Callithrix jacchus: one gene and its partner. The protein of the gene in region 2 binds, or shares a complex with, the protein of the main gene of each other region. Links are inferred from orthologs where the notes say so. Each region holds a gene or a part of one and is shown on either strand. Other genes may lie near its edges.

Region 1 (4,292 bases), on a different chromosome or scaffold from region 2:
TGGACTCCAATTTGTTAACTTCTGAAGCTGTCAATGGCAAAGATTTCTCTGAAGGCACCGGAAGAGATTTGAATTGGGCTTCCTTCATCCATTGAACAAGTATTAAGTATTTCTATGTATTAACAAGTATTTCTAAATGCTTACCATGCCAGGCCTTATTCTAAGCACTGGGGCTTCAATATTGAAAAAGACAAAGTTGGATCCTCCAAGGATTGTGGTGTCGGATAAATAACAAAAATGTGTAACTTAAAAAAGTGTAACATAAAGTTACAAGGCCTAGTCCCAGCTCGACTTGTTTCCCTAGCTGAAATGGGGATGACCAGGCGTGGTGACTGAGGCCTGTAATCCAAGCACTTTGGGGGGCCGAAGAGGGAGGATCGCTTGAGCCCAGGAGTTCGAGATTGAAGTTAGCTATGATCGCCCCACTGGACTCCAGCCTGAGCAAGAGAGCAAGACACTATCTCTAATTTAGAAAAAAATAAAAGTTGTGGCCGGTCGCAGTGGTTCACGCGCCCATGAACCCAAAGTAATCCCAGCACTTTGGGAGGCCTAAGCGGAAGGATCACCTGAGGTCAAGAGGTTGAGACCAGCCTAACCAATGTGGAGAAACCCTGTCTCTACTAAAAATACAAAACTAGGCCGGGCATAGTGGCTCACGCCTGTAATCCAAGCACTTTGGAGGCCAAGGCGGGAGGATCACCTGAGGTCGGGAGTTCAGGACCAGCCTGACCAATATGGTGAAACCCCGTCTTAAAAAAAAAAAAGAAAACTAGCCAGGCGTGGTGGCACACATGCCTGTAATCCCAGCTACTCGGGAGGCTGAGGCAGGAGAATCGCTTGAACCCGGGAGGCGGAAGTTGCGGTGAACCTAGATCGCGCCATTGTACTCCAACCTGGGCAACAAGGGCCAAACTCCGTCTCAAAAAGAAAAAAGAAAGTTGTCTAAATTTAAACATTTTTATAAAATGAAATGGGAGGGGACTGGTCTAGGGTTTCTAACAGCCCAACATCACCTGCGGCTGAGCCCACAAACACTTCCGCTGGCCTCCAGCTGCCACCGGATTACTCCCGCTCCTTCCCGATTTCAGACTTGGGAAGTGGTGCCGGGGGCGCGAGGAGGGAGGGTGAGGAGCGTGTATGACGCCACATCCGGCGCGCGGCGGAACTGGCTTCCCTTTGCTTCCGCGGCGGGGCCGGAAGTAGAGGCGGCGGCGGCGGCGGCCCAAAGCGGAGGGAAGTCGGGAGGCAGGAAGCGCCCCATAGCCGGAACCGGAGTCGCAGCGGCGGTAATAATGCGAGACCCCTCTAGGCCACCGTCCTTAGCGCGAACCGTGGGATTCGACGGGAGTTAGTGGGGGTCCGGCCAGGCCGTGGGACGCTGGGGGGGTCCCGGGGCCGATGTGAAGGGAGGCGGGGGTGGGGGTGGGGCCGGGCTGGCCCTAGAATCCAGTTGTCCGCTCCTCGCCCCTCACGGACACTCTAATCCGCGGGCTTGTCTTGGCCTTTCCCAGGAGACCCCTGTGCGGTGCGGAGGGGGCGGTGGCCCCGACTCTGACCCGCGCCGGGGGGTGGGCCATGGCGGAGATCAGCGACCTGGACCGGCAGATCGAGCAGCTGCGTCGCTGCGAGCTCATCAAGGAGAGCGAAGTCAAGGCCCTGTGCGCTAAGGCCAGGTGAGCCCGTTGGCCCCACGGAAGGGAGGCCAAGCCGCCGCCCACGGGTTCTGGCCTGGGGCAAACCCAACTGAGAATTTTGGGCTTGCCCCTTCCTGGAAGCTTTCCCAGAGAGGAACGGGATGGGGCCACTGCGCTCGAGGAAGAGCTAGCCTGCTGGGGGAAGACAGCTGGATAAAGACACTTAAAGTATTAGAAGATGTGTTTCCAGTGGAGTAAGAGTGTTACGTAAAGTACTTAGGAAACCAAGGGAAACAAGCCCATCTGTCTGGGGGACAGAAGCTTCTGGGGGTGGGTGGCGAACTGTGAGACAGGCCTCGAATAAGGAGTTGGTAAAAGAGTCAGCAACAAAACAAAGGTTTAAGACAGGAAGGTTAAAGACGCTGTGATTTATAAAAGTCTGAATTCCAACAACCACCCATAAAGGTTGGCGTATTGTACTCATTTTACAGGTGAGGACTGTCATGTTCAAAGTTACCCACAAGTAAGGAGTGGAGTCTGAAGCCAGTTCTTAGTGTCCTGTCCTTTTTCAGGCCATAATGCAAGAAGGTGGATTTGGATCACTCACATTCAGGATGGGACCCTGAGAAATCGTAGCAAGTAAGCCAGGATAGAATTAAGCATGATATGGCCGGGCGTGGTGGCTCACGCCTATAATCCCAGCACTTTGGGAGGCCGAGGCAGGTGGATCACGAGGTCAAGAGATTGAGACCATCCTGGTCAACAAGATGAAACCCCGTCTCTACTAAAAATACAAACATTGGCTGGGCATGGTGGTGTGCACGCCTGTAGTCCCAGCTACTCGGGAGGCTGAGGCAGGAGAATTGCTTGAACCCAGGAGGCGGAGGTTGCAGTGAGCCGAGATCGTGCCATTGCACTCCAGTCTGGGTAACAACAGTGAAACTCCATCTCAAAAAAAAAAAAAAAAGAATTAAGCATGATAGGAAGGCCAGTTTAAAGTTCTGTGGGAAGTAGGATGACCTAAGGCTCTAGGTTTTGGAGTGTGAGATGGCTCTAGGTTTGAATCTGAACTCTGCCACTTACTAGTTGTGTTAGTGATCTTAAGGTGTCTTTACTTGCAAAGCAGAGTTAATAGTACTTAATAAGATGGTTGTGAAAATTCAGTGAGTTGCTGCTTAAGTTTAGCACAGTGTCTTGGTACAGCATACATGCTTGATAGTCACTAGGTGTTCTATTTCTCTTGGATGAGGGCAACGATGAGATGGGCTAAAGCCATCAGGGAAGGCTACTAAATAGAGGTAGACCTTGAAGGATGAAGATAATTTGGCTAGCTGACAGGCAGGACCAGTGAGGGAAGGGCATTCCAAGCAGGACAAGTGTAGCATTGGAGGCCCTGAGAGTGTGAGGAACAGTCAGGGGTTTAATTAATTACCTGCCTTCTCTGGGGAACTGTGTGATTGTGACTTCTACCAGGCTGGTGAATTGCGGCAGAAGAGCCCGCAGAATTACCCTATGTTTATTGAACTATACACCCACTATTGGCCTGGCCCTGTACTGGCGAAAAAACGTCTATTCGTCTCTTCCTCCCAGCAATCCTGAGAGGTTGGAATCATTTGCTCCATTTTACCGAATAGGAAACCATGACTCGTAGAGGCCTGGTGACTTGACTGAGGTCACCCACTGAGGACATGGCAGAGCTCAGTTCTGAATCTGTGGCCCCCAGGCTTTTTGCTCGGCCCCACCTCACAGACTCCCTGCAGCCAGACAGGGCCTCTGAGGGGATCGTGAGCAGGGTGGGCCTCTTTTTCACCCTGTCTGTGGCTTTTCTCTTTTGCCAGCTGAAGGAAACGTCCCTGACCAGACCTGCCCCACCGTGTTTTTAATTGTCCCCTCTCCCTCAGTCCTGATGGGCATTTTTAGGAACTTAAACCTGTTGTTGTCTGGCACTATTCTTTTCCTCTGAAGTCTTATCTCCTGCGCAGGCCTTGGATCAGTGTGGTGGCGATGGTAGATAATGCTTGGATAGCATGCTGGAGTTTGCAGAATAGGAGGAAGTTATATATTCAGTCTCCATGGCTCCTTGTAACAGCCTAAGGAGTAGGCATGACGGGGCTGAGTACTTAACCCCATTTCGTGGAAGAAGAAACAGCCTCTGAGTAGATAATGTCTTGTCCAACATCGTGCAGCTAGTTGGAGGGGAAGTTAGTTGTGCATGCAGGTTTTTGACTGTGCTCTGTGGTCACTGAGAGCCAGGCGGAGGCATTTAGATTTTCATATGGGGTGTGAGGCAGCAGAGAGCTGTGGAAGGCTAACGGGTGGAGAGTCCTGCCCAGTTGAAACTGAGTGGAGCTAGGAGGTACTAGGCCAAGGCCTGAGTTGGTCACTGTTGTCCTGGGCTCAGTTCTGAAGTGGGGCCAGCTCTGATACCTGACCAAGGCCTCCTGAGGACCCACCAGAGACCCAGGCTGAGGCAGGTAGTGTTAGGAGCACCTGCTTGCCCACAGGGCACAGACATGTAGATGAAACCCATGGAAGCACAGAGGCCTGCAGTGTCTGAGCTGAAGTTGCTGCTACTAGAAATATTAGTACAGTAGAAGAGCTGAGCTTTTGAATCAGGTGGTCTTCAGTATGGATCTGTGCCTTGTCACCTAGAAGCAG
Region 2 (4,360 bases):
TTTTCTCATAAGAGCAAGCACAATCATAATCATCACTGTTTACCAGGAATTGTTCCAAGTGCTTCACAGGCACTAACTCACATACATCCATGAAAAACTCTATGAAGTAGGTAATATTTCTTATGCCAGTTTACAAATGATAAAACCGAGGCTTAGGGAGGTTAAGTGAGTTGCCCCAGTCTGCCCAAAAAGACACTGCTAAGACGAACAGAGCAGCCTGGCTCCAGTCTATAACTATGATAGTGTACTGTACACCTAGATTCAGATTGCTAGTAAACCACTAGAGGGCATGGGTTGTGCCCATCCTTCTACAGCTCCATCACCAGTACCCGGCAGAGTCTTTAAACTCATGGTTGAATTTTTCACAGGTATGCCTTCCCCTCTACACTGTGCTTCTTGGGGGCCATGGAAGAAACTGACACTGCATTTCACCCTTCAGGAGTAAAAAGTGTTTGCTCCACACAGTCATAAATACTTCCTGAATGAATGAATCTTCTATTTACAAAGTCGAACATAAATATAAAAAGCCCTCCTCGAGATAACACAATCAAGGCCACTTCTCCAATCCTAACCCGGCAAGAGATCTGAAGTCAATAGCTGCCTTAAATAATATCTGAAACTTACTATTAGGCAGAGAAGTGGCCTAAGAGTAAACATTAAACAAAATGTTAAAGCTGCCCTTCACTACATGAGTATTGCTCCCTTTAAGAAAGCTGTTTAGAGCCACCCTACTAAAAATACAGACTTGGCAAAAGTTTGGATGCGGTTCATTTACTTTAAAGACAAATTACTCATTTCAGATAATCCATCTAAACAGCAAATCCCCCTTACTTTACTCAAAACAACCAGGAGTCTAAAAATTGAGATTACTCTGAGTAAGGGAACCACATTAGACAATGCTAAGGATTAACTACAGAGTATTTAAGAGAGTACTTTCAAACTGCAGCCATCTCTGAATTACTTACACAGGTATTACACAGTCACAGCATCCAGTAGGCGTTCCACTAAACAGACCACAATTCTACTGTGTAACCATAGTAGAATTGGTCCCTTATGTATCTCAAGATCTACGCTTACACATTTTGCCCACTCTTCATTTTTAAAACGCATCTCAAAACCGAGTGATTTTTTTGATGGATCACTATTTTGTAAGATTAGCATGAATAGAAACTATTTTAAATTAACTGCAATTTGTCACTTCTTTCAATACAAATTTACCTAATTCTTTGTCTTTCCTGTCGTGACTCAAGTTATTTTCTGAGGCTTAGAAAAGTACATATAAGAAGAAAAATTCCTTTCTAAGTATCAATTCCGTCGCCATCAGGAAACAACGTCAAAAACTTTGTGTTTTAAAAAATAAAAGGGTCAACTCTAAAAACTTCAGTACCTCAAAGGAAAGCTGCACTGTTAACACTGATGGAGGATTGGGTGATTTCTGAACATCTGCATTAAAGAAATGTGCTCTCCAAACCTAGTAATTCCTGATGAGGCCACACCTTCTAACCTTTCTGTAATCCACAAATCAAACCGGGAGTAATCTAAAAACTGCCACAAGCCAAAGTAAAATGACAGGTATGTCATCCTCAGAGGATCCAAAACGGGGTCGGGGAGCCCAGACGGCTAGCCGGGACCCAGGCTGCCCCCGGGAGCTCCTGGAGAGCGACTCCAAGGAAACACACCTCCCGCGCGAGTCTCTTCCTTCCTAAAGTGACGGGGCAAGGGGAACACCAGGGGCAGAAACACACCCCAAACCCCACTTCAAATCTTGCCCCACCTGCTTCTCCTTCCGAAACAGGCGGCCTAGCCACTGCGGAGCCCACGGGCGATTCGGGGTCGCCAGGAGAAGGAAGGGCGGAAAGCTAACTTGGGCGTTACTCGGGGCGTCTCCCTCCCCCAGCGGAACCAGGGCGCGCCGTTTCCTCACGGACGCGCGATTTTCCCCCCAAATCGCCACCCCGGCCCGCCCAGGGCCGCCCTCGCCCAGCGTCCCCTTAGTCTACCCAGGCCGCGCCGCCGCCCGCCCTCCCCGACCGCTCCCCGCGGGCTGCCGGGCCACCGCGAGGCCGGGCCACTCACATCCGTCCGCGTCCTCCTGCAGGTCCTCCTGGAGCAGCGAGAGGTCTGCGCCAAGGGGAGAGAAGAAAGGCCCGGTCAGCGCCCCGGGGCCCGGCGCGACGCCCCCGCCGCCCTCCCTCCCGCCCCGGCGGCGCCTCCCCGCGCCAGGACCCCGCGCCGGCCCCGGCCCGGCCGCCACTCAGGGCAGCAGCGGAGGACGGGTGGGCGCGGGGAGCCGCCGCCGCCGCACGGAGAACAGGGGGCCACGTACCCGCCATCTTGTGGTCGCCCCCTCCTCCGCGGCCGCCCGGGGATCCGGGGCTACATGGAGCGGCGCGAGCCGGGTAACCGGTGGACGCGCGCGGGAGGGGCGGCGGGGAGGAGGAGGGCCGGGCTGGCGGGGGCGCGCGCGCGCGGGGCGGGCCAAGGGCCCGGGCCTGCAGCGGGCGGTGCGGCTCGGGGACGCCGGGTCCCCAGGCCGCGCCTCGCCCCGCCGGCCCCTCCGCGTGGCTCCCGGGTGGCCGGTGCTCCCGCCTCCCGCTTTCCCAGCTCCCGGCCGGGCGGCGCGCCCTCACACCCTCGGCCCGAGCCGCCCTCACTCCGAGCGCTGCGGACAGGGGCGCACAAGCTGCAGCCGGCCGGGACCCTGCGGCGAGTGCCGGAACCCGGCCGGGTGGGGCCTCCCGCTGCCTGGCCGCTTTATTGGGTCACCGGCCTCGCCCACCGCCCCGCTGGCCGCAGCCTTCTCGGCGGGCGCGCCGCTGGCCGCCCGCGCCCCATCCCCAGGCCTGCACGTACGTCGTCGGCGATCCGGGGCCGGGGGCGGCTCCGAGGTCGGCGGGGCCGGGGTCCCACCTCCGTTTGGAGGAAGCGCCGCCTCCCCAACCGCCCGGAGCCCTCGCCAAGTGGCTGCTAACAAAGCCCAGGGTCCGGCTGCGGGGTGGTTGAGTGACAAAGTCATGCCTGCCCAGCAAGCTTCCTCGTGCAGCACGCTGAAGGCTGGGGCGCCGGGTTTTTACTCCCACGTCCTGCTAACCCGAGCTGACATGGAGGGTAATCCACCTGAATCAGATCCTGATTCAGCCAGTTAGTTAATGGGACTGGGACCCATGTGGAGAATGAAGCTGATATCTGCCTCGTGGGGTTATTGGCATTAAACGAAGAATGTAGGGAACCTAGCACGGTTCTTAAGGTCTAGGAGGTGCTTGGGGAAAGGCGCCTATGATTCGCTTTTGTCTTTTAAATACTTTTGGCAGCACTTGAGGTGTTCAAGTCTGTATCCCAGACTTTATTAGTCTTGTTGTTTTGCATGACTTAAGCGATTAGCTCAAGCGCCCAAGTACAAAGTGGGGCTAAACCCAGGTTTTCCGACACGATTCTACCTCCATGGCTCTGTCTCCAGCTCTACCCAAGGCCTCCAAAATGGTGGTCTCCTAAAGTGACCAACAAAACACCAAGCTGTGTCATGATGCCACTTTGGCCGTATGGTCTCTTAGAAGAGGGAATTCTAAATAGTTAATTAGCTTGTTCCTTTTTGCCTTGTAGTCTTGACCAAGGACAATGTATTGGCATTTAATGCCATTGAAGATTCGGACATTAAGAATCAGATCCTCTAAGATTCCTAAATCGGTATAATAATATGGGTTCTACACATAGCTAGTCCAAAAAAAAATCCCTATCAGATACTACTAACAAGAGAGAAAGACAGTTTATATAGTCTGTATGAAATTTCTAGGTGTAATAAAAATCAGACCCAATAACTCGAAGTGTGTATCTAATTTTCTCAACTATAAAATAATTAAAACTAAAAGCCATTTATCTTCCTCCTTTGCTGAATGTCCTGTGAATTTAGCTGACACTCTCAGAATGACAAAGGAGTTAGAAATTCACAACTATCAACAGAAATCCGTCTCTAGATTGACTCAACCCCTGAGAGTTCTGTCCTGCTGAGCTACCTCATCAGTATCTACCACTTTAGCAATTCTGGGTAAATGGGAGAAGAAAGAGTCAAATCAGCTCTTTTTTTTTCATTAAAAAAAATTTTTTTAGAGGCAGAATTTTGCCTTGTAGCCCAGGCTGGAATGCAGTGGCACAGTCATGACTCACTGTAACCTGGAAGCCCTGGGCTTGAAAGATCCTGCAATCTCAGCCTCCCAAGTAAATGGAACTAAAAGCGCAGACCATTCCACCTGGCTAATTTTTTAAATTTTTAAAAAAATTTTTGTAGGGACGTGATTCTACTATTTTGCCCAGGCAGGTCTTGAACTCCTGGTCTCGAGCAATCCTCCAGCCTTGGTCTCCCAAA

Evidence for each region.
Region 1: PPP4R1 (region 2) and PPP4C share a complex: the UniProt entries of both Homo sapiens proteins name them as parts of the PP4 complex. The link is inferred for Callithrix jacchus from reciprocal best matches to the Homo sapiens genes PPP4R1 and PPP4C.

Annotation. Positions count from the first base shown.
Region 1 is NC_133513.1:29,442,874-29,447,165, reverse strand, and holds the start of PPP4C (serine/threonine-protein phosphatase 4 catalytic subunit), read left to right. Parts: upstream 1-1,201; 5' UTR 1,202-1,286; intron 1,287-1,511; 5' UTR 1,512-1,575; coding exon 1,576-1,673; intron 1,674-4,292. UniProt on the Homo sapiens protein: Protein phosphatase that is involved in many processes such as microtubule organization at centrosomes, maturation of spliceosomal snRNPs, apoptosis, DNA repair, tumor necrosis factor (TNF)-alpha signaling, activation of c-Jun N-terminal kinase MAPK8, regulation of histone acetylation, DNA damage checkpoint signaling, NF-kappa-B activation and cell migration.
Region 2 is NC_133514.1:53,315,418-53,319,777, reverse strand, and holds the start of PPP4R1 (serine/threonine-protein phosphatase 4 regulatory subunit 1), read right to left. Parts: upstream 3,047-4,360; 5' UTR 3,017-3,046; coding exon 2,854-3,016; intron 2,413-2,853; exon of another isoform or gene 2,334-2,412; coding exon of another isoform or gene 2,327-2,333; intron 2,122-2,326; coding exon 2,077-2,121; intron 1-2,076. UniProt on the Homo sapiens protein: Regulatory subunit of serine/threonine-protein phosphatase 4. May play a role in regulation of cell division in renal glomeruli. The PPP4C-PPP4R1 PP4 complex may play a role in dephosphorylation and regulation of HDAC3.